Linked DNA regions of Coturnix japonica. The protein of the gene in region 1 purifies or fractionates together with the protein of each later gene. This does not show direct contact. Links are inferred from orthologs where the notes say so. Each region holds a gene or a part of one and is shown on either strand. Other genes may lie near its edges. The genes, in order: ITGA6 and CD151.

Region 1 (8,858 bases):
GTTATAACCAGAAATTTGGCCTAGATCTGTCTTTTTAGCTTTAGAATTTGATGGTGTGTTACTGTAATACTGCATATATTAATATCTTTTCTAAATGTTCACGTTTCCTGGATGTTCTTTCTTATCTAGGTAACCTTTTATCTGATCTTAAGTACCACTAAAGTTAATGTTGATACAACAGACTTGGACATTAACCTCAAGCTGGAGACGTAAGTTTTCTTTGTGTATGTGTGTGTCTGTGCGCATTTTGTTTAGACAGATGGCCATAAACATTTTGAATGAGTGGTTTGATTCATAAAAGCAATTTAATAGTAAAGTAAAAAAACTTCTAAACTTGTAAAATCAGCAGCATTGTTTCCTTTCCATTGTAGAACAAGCACTCAAGTAAATTCAACTGCAATTACAGCCAGTGCTAAAGTGGTTCTTGAATTGCTTTTATCGCTCACAGGGTAAGTGTTAATAGCAGAACAAATAGGGGTGCAGGCTGGGGGGAGATCACCTTTGCTGCAGACTTCGTTACAACCTGATTCATTTCCTCTCTCCACCTTACCTGAACAGAGTGGCTAAGCCTTCCCAGGTGTATTTTGGAGGTGACATCGTTGGTGAGAGTGCTATGAAATCTGAAGATAATATTGGAAACCTCATAGAGTATGAATTCAGAGTGAGTAATTTAGAACAGTTTCTCCTTTTGCATGTGTAAATTCTCAAAAATGTTTCTGGATTTAGAAATAGGTTTTCCCAAGCTGTGGGAGCAGGATCCTGGTTATCTTTCTGTGTCAAAAGTTTGTTGTAAGCTTGGAGTTTGCTCCAGTTACGTAGACAAATGATTTGTTAACTCTAAACAGTGGGTGTTTCTTATAAAGACAGACTTTTAAACAGCAGCAGCTTAATGTTCGTAAGACTAAAAATTCATACCTTGACATTTAGTTACCTTCCAGATGTGCTAGTTTTCATATACATTTTGTCTTTAAGCTGTTTACACTGTCTTTTAGTGGCTTTCTAATTTCCTGTTGTCTACATGACTCCAAGTCAGTAATGGTGATAAATCCATTTGGAACAGATTGCACAACTTAAAGAAGATTTATTTTCATAGGTAACCAACTTGGGCAGGCCCCTGAAAGCATTTGGTACAGCTTCCCTGGACATCCAGTGGCCAAAAGAAATCAGTAATGGCAAATGGCTGCTATATTTGATGAAAATAGACTCCAAGGGCTTGGAAAAGGTTTCCTGTCAACCACAGAATGAAATCAATTTCTTGCATGTTGCGGTATGTTATTCTATCTTCTTTTGTTCACTAATAGGTTCACCATTAAAACACTACAGCATGTGATTACAGAGTGTAAGAGCCTACCTCCAGAAGGAATTTATCAAACAGGATTTTCACAGTCCTTCATTATGCCAACCCAGCAAGCTTTTCTAACCCCCCTGAGCCTTCATTTTCACTGTTTTTCATATAATCTCAAGGTCATTTGGGAGAAGTTGCAATCCTAGTTATTAAAACTGCATGTACTTCAATCTGTACTTATCTGTTGATCATTGCTAAACTTTCTGTGAGTAATCAGTTTATATTTCAAAAAACCCAAACCAGTATGTACTGACCATATCACCTGTACACCTATTAACGTAGTAATATTAATGCTGTATACACAGAACAAAAACAGAAACAGCATAAAAAGCTCTTTACATCTTAAAACTCATTGACATGTCAAAAGCAAGCAGGCAGTTGGCTTTTTAGTGGTTGATCTCAAATTTTCATGATTCTATTATTAGCAATGAATGTAGAAAAAAGGGGATATTTAACAACATCATTAAGACAGAGTTGTGACAGAAACATTTTATTTTGAAGGAATCCCATAACTCAAGAAGAAAGCGTGAGATTGCAGAGAAGCAGATTACAGACAGCAAGACATTTTCATTATTTTCAGAAAGAAAATACATGACATTGGTAAGCATACTGCATCAGCTAGTCTTGGTGGGCACTTCCTTCTCCACTCCTAACAGGGCTTTTTTGAGTTTGGCAGCATGAAAGATGATAGGGCTTTGATTTGTTTCTATCTTAAATCCAAGCACTGATGCTTTTAGAATTTGTTAATTCATATTTACTTTCTGAGGTGAGGAAATTGGGAATTTCTGTATAGTTATCTATGCTGAAATAAACACGAATTGCATTTTTATCATATTTTCCCATTGTTGTTGGTACAAACAGATTTTGGTTCTTGTGCCTAAATACGATGTTTAGAAAATTGTGAAGATGCTCTTACATGTAAAAATTTCTAACTGCAGGACTGCAAGGTGAATGCACGGTGTGTGGACATAAAATGTCCACTGAGGGGTTTTGACAGCAAGGCATCGATTTTGCTGCGTTCCAGACTGTGGAACAGTACTTTCTTGGAAGTAAGTTCTCCTGGCATTTCTGGAAGTTTAGAGTTCTTTCCTGTCATATGTCTAATAACTGTATTTTATTTTGGAACAGGAATACTCCAAAATGAACTACCTGGACATTCTTGTTAGGGCCTCAATCAGTGTTCCTGCTGCAGCTAAGAACGTCAAACTCACCAATGAAGCTGCTCAGGTAGGTTCAGCATTTAATGCCTGCCACAGATCATGTTATGTTTCCAGCTTATCTCAAAGACTAGAAAAGATAAACCATTTGAAAGCAAAAGGAGCTGGTATATTGGATCTTTGGAATCAAATTTTGAATTAGTGATCCTTTTTAATTTGGTTGGCAAAACTTGCTGCTATGTCAAAATGATACCCATAGAAACCTTTTCTTCAAAAACATGTTGTAGTGAGAGAAGACGTTGTAGGAAAAAAAAAAGACTATAAATTACAGTTTTATGTTAAAGATGGATGCTTTTGAAGTGCTTTTTCAATCTTTACATGTTTTCTTTCCTCTAGGTGCGTGTTACAGTCTTTCCTGCAAAGCCAGTAGCCCTTTATACAGGGGTGCCTTGGTGGATCATTGCAGTGGCTATTTTTGCTGGAGTACTGATGCTTGCGCTCCTGGTATTCTTGTTATGGAAGGTAAGTTTTTACTTACTTGATTATTTTATATTTCCTGGCATTCAAGTAGTAAGATAGCAAACAATTAAGTTTTTGTTCTCGTGCTATTCCTAATGCTATTAAACTCAAGGGTAGATGGGAAAAAATAAAACAACAAGAGATACAAAAATAGCACATTACCTGTGTGTCCAATTTCTTTTGTATGGGCTCCTTATCTTAGAGACCTTGAAGAAGCAAATTTGTATTTAAAAGGAAAAGTTAAGAATTTGCAAAACAAACAAACAAACAAAAAACAAGTACTTTTTAAACTGCCTTTGGCATTTCTACAACTAAAGGTGGTTCCAAGTAGAATAGGGTAGTTCTTTTCTTATACTAACTGCCAAAGCCAGTAAGTAATAAGTCAGTGGGGGAGAGAAGACACTCATTTAGAAAGAGTGGGTGAAGAGGAATATCCTGTCACTTGCCTTTGGAGAAACTGAAGCAGGTGGCATTGTTGGAATCACTGCTTGCTATGGATGATTTTTCATAGTATGCTTTTTATTTCCTCCTCAAAGAAATGGATAGTCTCTGTTGCAAGTCTTCTAAGAAATTACCATTAATATTGTTGGATGGACTGTTAGGTTACAACTATTAGTCTACTACTGCACATAAAGATGCTCTCATACACATTTTGAACTCCTTTTGATGACAGAAAATCATCTTATGAAGGACAAACGCTGTACATTGTAGGCAATTACGTGGCTGGGGATGAGATACATGCTCCTGTTGAACAGGACTAAGCATTTATCCTGTGCATAAATTGGTTTGTGATCTTGCTGCTCTTCACAGACAGCTTTAGTTGCTATAGATGTGCTGTATAAGTAGCTTTTCTTCAAAAAACAATGCATTAAAATTTTATCACAAAGCCTCTAAAACAGCATTCCTTACACTGCACAGGTTATTTTGCTCCTGTACAGAGTATGTTAGTTCTCAAATCTAATAACAGCAGCTGACTTTTCCTGTGAAAACTGTCTAAAATTTCAGGCAACCAGGCTGTGAAGAAATTATGGAAAGGTTGTTCTAGTCGGTTCTGATAGGTTTAACTCTTCTGGTCCACTGAAATTGACTAAATACCTTGCTTCCTTGTAGTGTGGTTTCTTCAAAAGAAGTAAGAAAGATCATTACGATGCCACATATCACAAGGCTGAGATCCATGCTCAGCCATCTGATAAAGAGAGGCTTACTTCTGATGCGTAGTATTGATCTACTTCTGTAATTGGTAATTGATGATATTTTTTAATTTTTAGCTGTGGTGGCACATGCTGTGGGTATGGTGGCTAACGATGAAGCTTTTGCTGCATATGTTCTATTAACTTTTGGATTTCAGACTGTCAGTACTTGCTTGCTTACTCTCTTAATAAATTTTCAGATTTTAGCATATATAAACACAGGTGGTTACCTTGGTCTAAGAAGCTTCTAGTTCTCTAGAAAACATATTGATCTGTTGCAGTGGTTTTTTAACTGATGATTTAACATAAGGGTTTTTTTTTGTTTTTTTTTTTTTTTTTTTTAAAGCTTTAGAGATGGTAATTGACAATGCAGAGTTAATACTTACAGTTAAGACTACCTAGAAGATAAACTTGCTTTATTAACCTTTTACTGCATGCTTAAAAATAAAATTGCTAATAATGAGAAGAGCATTCATAAATAAAAGGTAATTGCTGTGAAAACACCTTTTTTCCTTCAGTTTCAAAAATACTTTTCTATTCTAGAAGTAACTTCTCTGCTGCAGCTACCAGGATGCATGATAACTTATGTTTCTTAAGGCAATACATGCGCGTACAGATTAATTAGAGATGCTTTGAGATGAGGGGTTGGGAAGGAACTCTTACCTAAAATCTGTCAAAACTATGCGTAATGAATTTTTCCCCTCTTAAAGTGCAGATCTATTGAAGTTTTATTTTTAAACATTTTTTTAAAACAAGTCACAAATGAAACCGTACCTCTTTTATTTTTTTGCTATCAGTACGTAATCACAGTTTGTCACAGTGTCTTGTACTCTTAATCTTGACTTCAGAAACCCATCAACATGTCAAATGTTTGCCAGTCATCATCACAGTACCATTGTGGCCAAAACTCACTTTATTTGGAACATTCATTTCAGTCTTCTTAAGTAGTTTTAAAAAAATAATCAAGTTTAATAGTGGTTTTGATTAAAAAGAAAGCTTTTGGGGCACAAAGTTTACTGTATTTCATAATGGGAGTTGTTCATTGCAGAATGCTACAGAATTTCAATTTATAGCTGTTTTTCACTTTGGCAAATTAAGCAATATCTGTGCTCTAGGACTGTAAATGTGTGGTTAGTTAAGGCAGTGTAGTACTGATGGCGCTTTGAAAAGACAGCCCTAGTGTAAGCTTTCCTTAGACCTGGAAGTCTTTCTGTAAGTTTAATGGTAAATTACATCAACATAGAGTAATGAAGTACATACCTGCCTTTCATTCAGGAGAAGTAAACGTTCCTGAACTGTATGCACATCTCTCTTTAGCATGGAGATTTCTCAATACACAACAGAACAATTTTAGAGGAAGACTTATATGGTGTGTTTTATAATCTGTCTATAATCTATTCTGTAATCTTTTTGTATTCAGTTCTCTTACCTGTATGAAGAATACATCGCCTCTGTGATTGTAGTACTTCCACAGCAACTTCAATCTAAACTCTTCTTTTTCTCCTCGTCCCCAGTGTGGGTTCTTCCAGCGCTCCAGGTACGATGACAGCGTCCCCCGCTATCATGCTGTAAGAATTCGAAAAGAAGAACGAGAGATCAAAGGCGGGAAATGCAAAGATCTTGAGACAAAACAGTGGTTCACAAAATGGAATGAGAATGAAAGTTATTCTTAGGAAGAAGTTGTTTCCCTCCTCAAAGTTCAGATACAGCGTAATGCTTTTGTTAATGGTGAACTCGTGGAGTTAGACCTATGAACACTATGGACATCTTCACTGTTTGTTTGTAGATAATACTACTTACATTGCAGCTTTTGTTTGCACAGTTAAAATTGCTTCGTCAGTCCTTTTTGGCACTATGTAATTTCCACTCTGCCTCTTTTTCCCCCCTTCAAATCTAGCTCAGGCTTTAGAAGACACCGTGTTGATTTGGGCTCTTTGCTGCAGAACATGCAGACCCAATCTGGCAGGCCTTCTCCTGTGCTCCTCATGTTCCTGGGAATTGCGTGATTGAGATCAGTGCAGGTTCTCCAGCCTTCCCTTGATGTTTGATCCCTTACAAACACACTGGCCTTAACATATGTAGTTAAGTATCATCTGAAGACCTGCAAATCTATTTTAGCCATAAGCTTTGCTGCTGCAGTAGCTAGGGCTTACAAAAAGCATCACCTTCAGTTGTATGCACAATAGGTCGCGTTGCTCAATTTTTAAAATCAGATTATGTAAATGTTGCTCACAACAAATATACACAGGTTGTTTTTTTCTTAGTTTTTTTAAAAGAGGCTTGAATATTAGATGTACTTTTTGTATATATATATATTTTAGTCATTTTTGTATTTATTTTTGTTATCGATGTCTTTGACTGTTAGGCCAAAGACTTTCCTGAACCTTGAAACCACTGTGCTTAGGAACTTCAGAAAATGAGACCTGAGGCTTTCATTGCAGTTTAATAAATCACTGAAGGTGCCAACGCTTTCTAAAAATGTAAATATTTATTCCAGTGATGTACATGGAGTCTTTTTTTTTTTTTTTCATGATATTTGTAACTTGATCTAATAGGAACTACCAGGTCTTATAGTATGACTTTGTACATTACTTGAGACTATTAAACAGTTCAGACACCAAGTATAGGTAGGGTTTTTAAGATGCAGTTTTATACTTCACTGGTAGTGAGAGGTTTTCTGGAAGCAGCTTTCCAGCTTCATAAGGACTTCCTGTCTGGCAAACGGTGTTGACTACTACAACTGTATGAAGCACTTGACGAGGCTGTATATGCCTAACTTAACTATGAGGATCTGAGCTGATCCACTTTGAGACTACTGAACCCTCTTGAATACCTGAACATTGTTAAGAGAGCAGTCACGATGCTGTGCTTATCAGCAATCTAAGCATTGATAAAACTATATAGAGATTACTTTTTTTTTTTTTTCTTTACCCTTATTCTAAAGCACTGGTACTCCTTAAGAACGAAGATCAGTTTGCAGTTTATTCCATATAGGACAGAATTCTGCTCAAGAAGCGTGCAGTTGTTTGCAGTTTAAACTATGCAAAAACCTCTTGGTACTTCTTCCTCTCAGAGGGTAAAAACCTGCTAAGAGGGCACTTGTCAGGTGTCTGATTTCTGCTACTAACTTTTAAGACCTTTTTAGAAGCTACGCTCACCTAAAATGCTATCCTTATAGAAAGGGCAGTAATTTAGTAGGCTCTTCTTCCTCCCATTAAATCATCTCAGTACATGACCCTGATTTTGTGAACCGTGACAAATGCATTTTGCTGTTACTCAGTTTTCGAGCTTTTTTAAAAATAGCTTTTTCACTGATTGGCTGTGCGGTATAAGAGGCCACGCTAACGAGGTGCTAAGATGCTTGGCAACCAACTACTCCCAGCCTCTGTTTTTAAAGCAGATTGTGGCCCTCCCCTAAGACCATGAATGTCTCTGCAGTGTTAAAGTGAAAATTATTCTCAATAAGTCACGTCACTGGCATACTTCTATTTCAGACTTGTTTTTAATACCAGCTAACAATCATTCCATCATTAGAAATTACCTGTGGATATTTGTATAGAAGTGTGAAATAAATTTTTTAAAACTAAACATTGCTCTGATAATAGTGGTTTCTTATCATAATTAAACGAGAGAGCCACAGCAAGGCTCACTGGTACATCAGAAAGGCAGGCTAAACGTTGCAGACACCAACAGTCACACTGTGAATATTGCCATATCCCCTCAGCCCTGCCCGTGGAGGGAGGTGATGGCTCCTCCAAACTGTGTGTCATGATATGGAATACGTGCAGACAGTTTTGAAACAGGAGTTATTTAAGGAAGAGGGGTTTAAAGGTCATGGTACGTTTGTTTGTTTGTTTTCCCTTAATACAATCTTTCTGTTATGTGTTTGAGGTACAAAGCAAGAAAAAGCTGACACACGGGCACCAGGGCAACAGCATGCAGGTGGAAAAGATGAAACCAGCCCAGAACCATTTTAAGCAGCTGCAACAAATTACAAACACCCAACTTACTGCCTGTGGGTACTGCTTTAAACTGCTACTAGCTCACAGCTGACATCATTATAAGCCGGTTTTAAGAACAGCAGTAATGGAAGCCAAGAATCACAGATTCACAGAATTATCAAGGTTGGAAAAGACCTAGAAGATCATCTAGTCCAACCATCACCAATACTTCCCAGTTAAATCATATCCCCCAACACAACATCCAAGCGATTCTTGAACACTCCCGTGGTCGGTGACTCCACCACCTCCCTGGGCAGTGCATTCCAGTGCTTGACCACCCTTTCCTAGAAGTAATACTTCCTAATGTCTCAAACTGCTCTAAGGCTGAGAAGTATGTGAGCTCCTGTAAGCAGCACAGTATCATTAGCCTGAGTTTATACAGAGACGATAGAGTCGTTGGCTTGCCCCATTAGCTACTGCTGCTGGTCAGAGTAGAGCAGGGTAACGTGGCAGAAACAGCAAAGCAGCTCCCGGGCTGGCATAGGACTTTGGCCGCTTGTTCCCAGCACGGCCAAGGAGAGAACAGGCCACGTTTGGGGGTTAATTTCACGAGAAAGAACCACAAGCATCAGTACAAAAGCAAGCAGCGCAGGGGCAGACCCACCACAGCACTGCTCTGAGCGCTGCGCTGACTGCGGGGTTCAAC
Region 2 (9,113 bases), on another chromosome or scaffold:
GCATCCTGCCACCTTCCTTCCCCTTCTTCTGCAGAGCGATGATGTCAGGGCAGTAGGGCATAACTAGGTCCCAACAAAAGAAAGACAGCCTTTGTATCAGAGTACTCCAATCCTTTCTTGCCCCCTTTCAACCTTTTGTGAGGGCTGGGACCAGCGTTTAGCTATCCCCTTCTCTGCTGAGTGACTCACTGCTGTGGTATGAATGGGTACCTTGTACAAGAGTATGCAGAGACTTTCAGTGTGGGGCTGGGGAGAGAAAGCCTGAGATTGTGTGCTCAGATTAAAGCCTGGCCTGCAGATAATACCCAGCTGGCCATCCTTTGCAGCTGGTGTATCCCAGAAGGGGTGAAAGAAGAAACCTGAGCTGTGTTGTTTAATTCCTGTGAAGTAGCTCAGAAGTACCTGTGTCTACCAGCCAAGAAGGGTTGTGCAGTGCAGAGAGTAACCCTTGTGTAACAGAAAACAATCTTGCTTGTGTCCAGGGCTTCACTATCCTTCTACATGCTGGGTGGAGAGATGGTTTCATGGCTAGCTACATTTTTAGGGAACTGTTCGCCTAATCCCTTGGGAATAGCCATGTTCTGAGCTTGAGTGAGACAGAGTGGAAGATGATGTGTTAGTTCTGTCCTGAGCAGGCCAAGTCTTACAGGGGCTTTGCATAAGGACGTTGTTATAGATTCAACTAGTGCCACTTCGGCTTCGTCTATAAAAAGATGAAGTTAGTAGCAGTTGTAGAACAACTTGGATCTGTAAAGGAACTGCCTTTTTATCTAAAATCTTATCACTTCACTGGTGCACTGCAGATGGTGGTTGAACCGCACAGAAGTACCTGGAAATGTAAATCCGTGTCTTAAATTTATGTTCAATTGATCACCTTTGTCCTTGGTGAAATGGGCTATTTGTTGGTTCATTTAATTGTTGTTATAGCACGCATTTCTCCTTAGTAACTTCGGGAAATGCCCTAAACAATATGAAAGCAAGCAAAAGTTTCAGAATTATTTTTTAATTATGTCAGAAGCAGATATTTTCTGTGATACTAAATGTATTCATCAGGTTATCTGGCAACCACTCTCTTCTGTCTAGTGATCTTATCTCAGCTGCCTGCACTTTTCCATTCTCTATATCCCTCTGGCAGTTTGAGTTAAACTCACACTTGCTTCTGCTTGTCTTCTGTTATCAAGCATGTTCATTTTTGTTTTTGTTGTTTTGTTTTTGGTTTTGGTTTTTTTTTTGACCTGTGGGATTGTTCCCTTTCTATCCTATTGAGGTCCTAATCCCACTATTATCTTTGAGATCTCCTGCAGATAACCATCAGCAGAGACAGTGTCACGTATTTTACTAGCTAGTGGTAAGCCAGCTTCAAGATTCTGTTCTAACATCCTGTTTTTCCCATTATTTTACAGTATTTCATATTGTTGCTGTGCATCTTCCTCCTGGAGATCATTGCTGGAATCCTGGCCTATATCTACTACCAGCAGGTGAGTGGACAGCAGTCCTAGAAACTCAAACCAGGAAGAGAAAACAGCTGACTGTCATCCCATTACTCCGGCCAAAATTGGGCTTGAAGGCTTGGGACCAAGTGTCTGATTAGGTTTCATCCTTCTACATGTCTATACTCACTTTCTACCCCATACAAAAAAACTTAGGTTATTTACTACTTTTGACAAAGCTTTAGTGGTTACACTTGGGAGGCTGTTCAGCCTTGCTGCTCATCTTGTGTTTCATCTTCGCAAGCTGCAGAGTCTTGTAGAAGACAACTGTTAAGGCTGTGTAGAACTTCTAATACCCTTTAAGTCACACTGCAAGCAACTGAAATGACATTAGTGCCACCAAGTATATACAGGACATGAGTGATCCTGTTGCATCTAGCAAGGTAGCTATCACACTCCTGAACTTACAAAGGTGGTCCAGCTGTTAGGTCCTTTCAGGTCATAAAGTTTTGGAGGTCTTTACCTAACCAGCGTAGCTGAGGGGGTAACAGCATTGACTCTCAACAGCTGCAGTTCTAAGTTGGCACTTCTTGCAGTTGCAGAGAACAGAGGCTTAATAAATCATTGCTTTGTTTTCAAAGGATATTTAGCCACCAGAACACAAACAGCCTGGGAAATTGCTCTCAAGTCTGGAAATTGGTTGGAAAGGGTGAATTAGAATTGTTGTCAAGTGTCTGTCTGAAGAGCAGCTGGATATCTCATTCCATCTTGTTGGCTTCACTGTTAGGATTCCTTGCCGTTCCTTTCTATTTTGAGACTTTTGTGCTTTGCATCTCCAGGATGGGCACTGTCAGTTTGTGAGGAGTCAGAGTGTTGTTAATTCATTTGCTTGGTAGGAACTGAGATGGGTCAGTGGAATATATTTAACTGGGAAAGATCAGGCCCAGGAGCATGGCAGAAAGCCTCACTTGGCTCATGTATGACAAAGGATGAAAAGAAGCTGATCCTTAGGTAGAGTAAAGGATGACACATTTGGAGCTGTCCCTTCAAGTGCTTTAAGTCACTCAAAGGCATTCTGATCAGTAGCTGCACTTTCCCCTTGCACTGTGACTGATAAATGCCCCTTCTTTGCTGGTTGCAGGCTGCTTGCTGTTTGCTTATTTCAGCCCTTGCTTTTGGTATCTAAGGCTTGTGTGTCTGAACTCCCTCTCTTTTGTTGTCTTTGTTCCATGCTGCAGTTCTTCCCCATGAGCCTGCAGGTAACTGCTTTTCTCCCAAGTACTAATTCTGTTAATGGATTCTCCTCTTTATTTGCCTCTGATGCCTTCCAGCTACCGAACCTTTTGCTTTCTCTTCATTACATTAAGTCCCTTGCACTTCTGCAGAGCTTCCCAACCCAGGATCTCAAAGCATTTTTCAAATATTTATGAATGAAGCCTCTTATCAACTCTATGAGGTAGGTATTGTCACCACTTGACACACAGGATTGGGAAAAACAGTATATCAAAAGGAAAATAAACTGCAGATTGTATTTTGCCCAGTGCAGTGTAACGAGATGTTTGACCCCTCACTTACTGCTTACTGTACAGAATAAAAGGCGTTTAGAGAAGCTGTCTCTACAGCTATCTCTACTGATGTGTAAGAGGAACTTAGCTAGATTAAGAAGAGCTTCCATAGAAAGAAATATTTGAGTGCAGTCACCTGAACCTACCAGTGGTTGGTGATAGGAACATTTTCAGAAATGATGAACTTCCAGAATCAGACGTCATCTCTGTGGTTTTACAAATCTGTCACTGTTATCAAGAAATGCCATGGAGCAATCTTGCAATTACGCTCTTCATCCCCTCCTCTGGCATCCCTTTTGCTGTCATTTTAAGAGCTATTCAGACTACGTGACCTCAGTCCAGTGTGCCCAGGACTCTGATTTCTTCCTGCTCCTGGACAGACTGATTGTGTTTTTTCAGGGACAGAAGACTGCATATGCTCTCATGGCATATTCATATTCAAGCAGGCACAGTTAGGTATTGTGTTTTAGATGCAAACATGTCTTGGCAATCTCTTACATGTGTGAGGTGAGGACCCACGTGGTGATATGTTGCACAGACTGAAATTTGGCCCAGAATCACTTCATTCCAGTTAATAAAGTGGAAACGTGGTCTTTAATCAGCTGGAAATAAGCTTACCTGCTTCCTGGAAGTCATTCCAGCCTTGGAAGATGACTTAAGGAAGCTGTAGCTTTCACTTTTTGGCTTTCTTTTCTCTTGGAGCAGTAGCAGTGAAACTTATGCAGGACGCTGGGTTGCCCTGAGGGGAGGTGAATTTACCTCATGATTTTATCCCACTTGTCTCTTCTTTTCAGCTGAGCACGGAGCTGAAGGAAAATCTGAAGAACACCATGACTCAGAAATACCGCAAAGAGGGAGAAGAGAGAGTGACCAGTGCAGTGGACAAACTGCAGCAGGAGGTGGGTGTTGCTGGAGATGCTATTGTACAATACTAGACATGATGTGAGCTCTTGTCACCTGACATACAGATTGTTTCTCCTGAGTCAGAGCAGGTTGGGTGGTGTGCAGGGTCTTGGCTGTGCTACCAGCGGAATGGCATGGGATAATCTCTGAATTGGATCCCCAATAGAATTGAGCAATCAACATCTAAATTGCTCCTGGAGTGAACTGAAGTGCCGAGTCACTCTGACAGCTGTTTCTACTTACCACATGAAAGCTTTGGAGAAATTGCTGACATTTTTCATTAAGCTTCTCAGTACCCTAGAGAACAAGATGTAATGAAAGATCCTGCTGCTGCTGCGAGCTGTGTCATGCTCTGGGGTGGTTCAGGTATGGGCTGTCATAGTTCTGACAGGCTTTTCCACAGACTGGACCTTTGTGCAAGGCATAGGTCCAGCAGTTTCAAAGCGTGCAGCCTGCTATGCATGTAATGCCCTGTTGCCAGGTGCATATGCGATAGTAACTGGTAATTATACCTACCCTGTTAGTGCTCTCTGGTCAGGTGATTTAAGAGCTGAGGCAGCTGCAGGTGCTCTCTAGCTACAGTTCATCTCAACAGTAACAGAAGTCAACTGCTGAAAGATGGATGAAGCTGATAATTAATTGCCAGCATTGAAACAAAGCTCACTAATAATTACAGGGGTCCAAAAATCTAGGCTAGTGACATTGCTGGAGTCTCTCAACAAAGAGCAAAGCTCAGAGCTTGATACAGGGAGGCTTGAGTGAGAAGGAAACTGCAGTGCTTGCAGGCTCAGCTTTGTTTATATGTGTTTGCAGTTCAAATGCTGTGGGAGCAACAACTACACAGACTGGGCTGACAGTATCTGGATCAGATCTCCAGAGGCCAGTGGACGGAAAGTTCCTGACAGCTGCTGTAAGACAATAACTGACCTGTGTGGCCGAAGGGACCATCCTTCCAACATCTACAAGGAGGTAAAGAACAAAAGGGCTTCAGAGCCTCTTGTCACAAATTTTATCGAGGAGGTGGGTGGGAAGTGAGGATTTTGGGTTGGCACTTTGTGTCTCTAGTTGAGTGTTGAGCCTTCCAGGCTACATTTAAGAAGATTCAGGGAAGAGGGAAAAAAAAAAAGAGGAGTCAGAGTGTCTGGGCTGCTATTACAGAAGCATGTATTTGTGGCTACCAGAGTGATACTATAGCCAGTACCCAGTGAGTACGGTATGGGATTAATCCTCTACACTGGAGTGGCTGTGGATTAGGCAAGGAGTGTATTTCAAATCTGCCTCAGGACTGTTCTTGGCATTTGCAGGGAACCTGATATGTAGAAAAGGATTGTAAAGGCAATAAAGAAGAGAGTTCAGGAGCTGGGGAAAAAAGCAGAGATATGTTCTGCACCATTTTATTTCCTATAGAGAAAAATACTAAGTTATATTTGTTATTGCAGAATATGATGGTGATGAGGGAGCGGGAGAGGTTGCTTCTGGCAGGAGTTTTGGGTTTGAGCTCTGCGTTCTCAGCTTCCTGTTATTAAACTTAGTGAGGAGCAAAGAGATACAGTCAAGGATCAGCATTGACAGATTTGACCTCCAGCATGAGGAAACAGGATATGGGGCTCCCCAGCAGAAAAATTAGGCCAATTCCAGAGAACTGCAGTTAGGGGTGAAAAGAATTTGGAGCTGAGCTGCTTATCTCACCTCCAGAAGAAGCAAATTGAATCCCAGAGCAGCTGAGGAAATAGGCAGGTAGCTCTCACTTATTCATCTTGTTGATTAAAACTGGTATAATTTCTTGTGTTTTTGTTTTCATACCCTTCAGTCCTATGGCTTGGCTCACCATAAATCTCTCTGTGAGTTAGCATAGACTGTTTTCTCACCAGTGCAGCTTTTGCCTCAGCTGACTGTACTAAGGCATGGGAGCAGCAGCCGGAGCCTTTTCCTTGTCTCTGCCCCACTAGGTGCAGAGATGAAGTTCAGTCTTCCTGCTCTACTAAAGCCACCCTTTATTAAGTCCAGCTGCTTGGCTGGGTTTTGGTCTCCTGAAGGAAGACTTTCCCATAAGGTCTGTTATCTTCCAAGGGCTGTTGAGGTGTCTCTGAGTGTAGAAACCTACAAGTGTGTGAGGGCAGAGCTGGCTTGCCCCAGCCTCACTCTGTGCTGTGTGAAACTGCCCAGCTGGTTACTGAGGAAGGTCCTATGGGCTGCCAAGTGCACAGCATTAGCTCTGGAGTATAAAAAGCTGCCAAACGCCATGTGGATCTACATATAGACACTACTTCTCATGATACAACATCTAAGTTAGAGTTCAAAACAGACTTCAGTTGCACTGGGGAAGAAGAACCTAGAAGAGGTTGGATCAGGACACGGGAGCAATTGTTTCACACTGGGGCAGCTGGAGCTGACTCTCAAACCTAATTCAGGCGTGGGAAAAGTGCGGCCTTTGCCATCCCTCCCTGGAGAGGTGCATGCTCACTCATTCCCTCTGCCTGGGTAAATGTAGGTGTCTGTGCTCACTGTAGACCCCTGGGGCTGTAGTGCCCTGGCACCCATGGGGCACTGTTGCAACACAACAAATCCCCCTGATGTTACCATGGAAAACCTGCCTCACTAGTTGAGACAGTTAAACTATTTAAAGAGAACTCTTCCAAAATAATCAGAGAATTCTCTTACTGTTTTATTTTTGCATTATGGCAACAAAAACATGGGCCTGAAACTAGGATGTTATGCTGCCAGCCAAGGATGCAAGTGAAAAGCAGAGATAGTCAGTGCCTGTTTTTCCAGGTTCACATTAAAACCCCATAAATAACAGTGGGAGGAATTTCCTTTCAAAGGGTTCCTCTCATGTTAGAGGTCTTAATGCAGCATTTCCTTGGCATTTTGGCCTGGCAAGAGCAAAGCCCCACTTCAGGCATGTGCTAAGCAATGAGGGAGCCCTCCTCCACATACCTCAGAGGAAAATCTGAGAGAAATCCTTCTCTGTAATGTGCCAAGTTCTTCTGTACTTCTTCAGCCACCTTAAGTTTGTTCAGCAATTCCTGAGACATACAGAAACAGAATGGACTTTATATAATCTATATAGCTTTTCCAGCAGTGTTGCAAGGAGAGGATGCTCACAGCCACTGCTTTTTATAGGGATGCCTTCAAGGGTTACAACTGCTGTCTTAAAGTGAGACACGAGAAGTTAAAATGAAGATGACTTTCCTTGTCTCCTCTCTCTCCCCTTGCAGAATGGTTGCATTACCAAGCTGGAAAACTTCATTCAAGAACATCTGAAAATTATTGGCATAGTTGGGATCAGCATTGCCTGTGTGCAGGTATTGTGTGGAACTGTGTGGAGTCTTGGGCTTTCTGGGTAGAATCTTAAGAAACTCAAGAGCTAAGGGATGGAAAAATTGGTATTTCATGCTTTTCCTTGCCTGGCAAAAAAAAAAGTTGTCAGGTGAGGGAAAGGTACTTCAGTGACCTTGGGGTCCACTAACTCCAGAGCTAGTGCCTCTTCTGTCAGTTTGTAACATTTCATTTCTGGTGAAAGAAAGGCACTTTTCTGCTCAGACAGGTTTCTGCAGCGGGGATGTGAGAAATGAGGTGTGGTTATGGCTACTGGTTTGGCAGCCTGAGAGAGACCTCTGGTGGGGATGTGCCAGGATTGCCTGTGCTGCCAAAGAACCGGTTTGAAGGAGTTTCCCATCACGGTTGATTAGCTCATTCTTCATACATTCAGAGTTTCTGCTCTGGCTTTGTCATATTGAGGAACAGCACTGTGGGTCAGCAAATGTTTAAGGAGAGTCTGAAGAATAAAGGGATAGGATGTGGATGCTCCTACATGGTTACAGGGGGAGAGACAGCCAGAATAATCTTGACTTCCAGATGCAGGTATCTCTGGAAGTTGTTCATTTTCCCTTCTGTTCTGGCATACAGACAAATTACATTCTAGAGAAGCTGATAGTAATTAATTATGAGATTAGCACAGATTATGTTCTCTCACACTCATTGCAAGCTGGAGTGCTGTATCTCCAGGCCGGAGTTGGTTGCCACTCCGATATGGGTCCAAACTTCTAGTTTGCAGGCTGCTACCTCTACTGCATCCATTCTGTTTTTTTTCATGCATTTCTCTCTTCTCTTTCTGCCCTGTAGATCTTTGGGATGATTTTCACTTGTTGCTTGTACAGGAGTTTGAAGCAGGAGCCGTATTAATAGCTATGGGAACTCTTGTCAGCTCCCCCTCTGCCACTTCCCTTAGTGCCTGCCAACCTCACCACCCTCCACCACCACCACAGAAGTGTCTGCAACCTGAGGACTTCGCTCTAATTAAATGCCTTACCTGCCCCTTATGGGGAAAGTCACCCTCCTCATGCACAAGGCAGCCAGGAATTCAGCAGGTCCTCTTCATCGTCAAGAAACAGAAGAGCTGTGGATTTTCTGCTAGAAGCTTTAGCAAAACAGTCTCTTGATGTAACTACAAAGCAAGATTTATCTAGGGCCTTTCTCTTGGGGCTCTTGCTGAGCCGACGTGGAAGTATTGGGATGCTACACAGGAACCACGGTTTGCTTTCTGAGAAGTGTCTCAGCAGAGCTGGGCATTGACTGTGAGGACAGATGATGTTTCTGCGCTGAGCTGGAGCCAGATCTGAGTCTTTCAGACACAGAAGATTTGTCATTCTCCCCCCAGCCTGTGCCCTGATGTCCTAACACAGATGTTCTCCACCTGTGTAGATGCCTGTCTGGTTGTGTGGGGCAGGAATTGCGCTCTGTGCTCATCAGGATCACGACTTGGTACAGTTGAAATCTTGTTGCGGCTCTAATGTTGTCGAGATCTGGGTGCCTTAGTATTTCTCAGCAATCCTTCCTCCTCTTCCTTGAAGCTTCCCTGTAACGCAGTGCCATTAGGAGCCACAAGAAGCCTTCTGCCGCCTAGCAATTCCAGAGCCAAAGACATTGGACTGCTTTCTAATTCTTTTGGGTCATGTCTGTTTTATTTAGTGGCTTCCAGTGTGAATGAGAAAGTTCAAAGAGTTGTTTCCTGCCTGTCCCCTGGTGTGGTTTGACGAAGAGCTGGTCTGTTGGTGGAGCTGATGTATCATGCTACCCTTCGGCCTGTTTGGTTAGTGGAAATGCTTCATCACATCTCTTACGTGTTGAGAGACACCCTGGGCTTGATGCTCTAATTAAAACCTCCAGGCTTGTCTCTCTTGGGGTGGGAAATGAATATATACAAATGTTTTAT

The links.
Region 2: the proteins of ITGA6 (region 1) and CD151 purify together in Homo sapiens (co-immunoprecipitation; 3 studies listed by BioGRID and IntAct, with this or other methods). This does not show direct contact. The link is inferred for Coturnix japonica from reciprocal best matches to the Homo sapiens genes ITGA6 and CD151.

What each region holds. Positions count from the first base shown.
Region 1 is NC_029522.1:15,820,122-15,828,979, reverse strand, and holds the end of ITGA6 (integrin alpha-6), read left to right. Parts: intron 1-129; coding exon 130-209; intron 210-371; coding exon 372-449; intron 450-558; coding exon 559-661; intron 662-1,093; coding exon 1,094-1,267; intron 1,268-1,846; coding exon 1,847-1,945; intron 1,946-2,283; coding exon 2,284-2,394; intron 2,395-2,473; coding exon 2,474-2,572; intron 2,573-2,898; coding exon 2,899-3,024; intron 3,025-3,183; exon of another isoform or gene 3,184-3,227; intron 3,228-4,131; coding exon of another isoform or gene 4,132-4,239; exon of another isoform or gene 4,240-4,261; intron 4,262-5,640; exon of another isoform or gene 5,641-5,725; coding exon 5,726-5,884; 3' UTR 5,885-7,799; downstream 7,800-8,858. UniProt on the Homo sapiens protein: Integrin alpha-6/beta-1 (ITGA6:ITGB1) is a receptor for laminin on platelets. Integrin alpha-6/beta-1 (ITGA6:ITGB1) is present in oocytes and is involved in sperm-egg fusion.
Region 2 is NC_029520.1:8,931,663-8,940,775, forward strand, and holds part of CD151 (CD151 antigen), read left to right. Parts: intron 1-1,403; coding exon 1,404-1,478; intron 1,479-3,789; coding exon 3,790-3,894; intron 3,895-4,711; coding exon 4,712-4,867; intron 4,868-7,116; coding exon 7,117-7,203; intron 7,204-8,023; coding exon 8,024-8,083; 3' UTR 8,084-9,113. UniProt on the Homo sapiens protein: Structural component of specialized membrane microdomains known as tetraspanin-enriched microdomains (TERMs), which act as platforms for receptor clustering and signaling.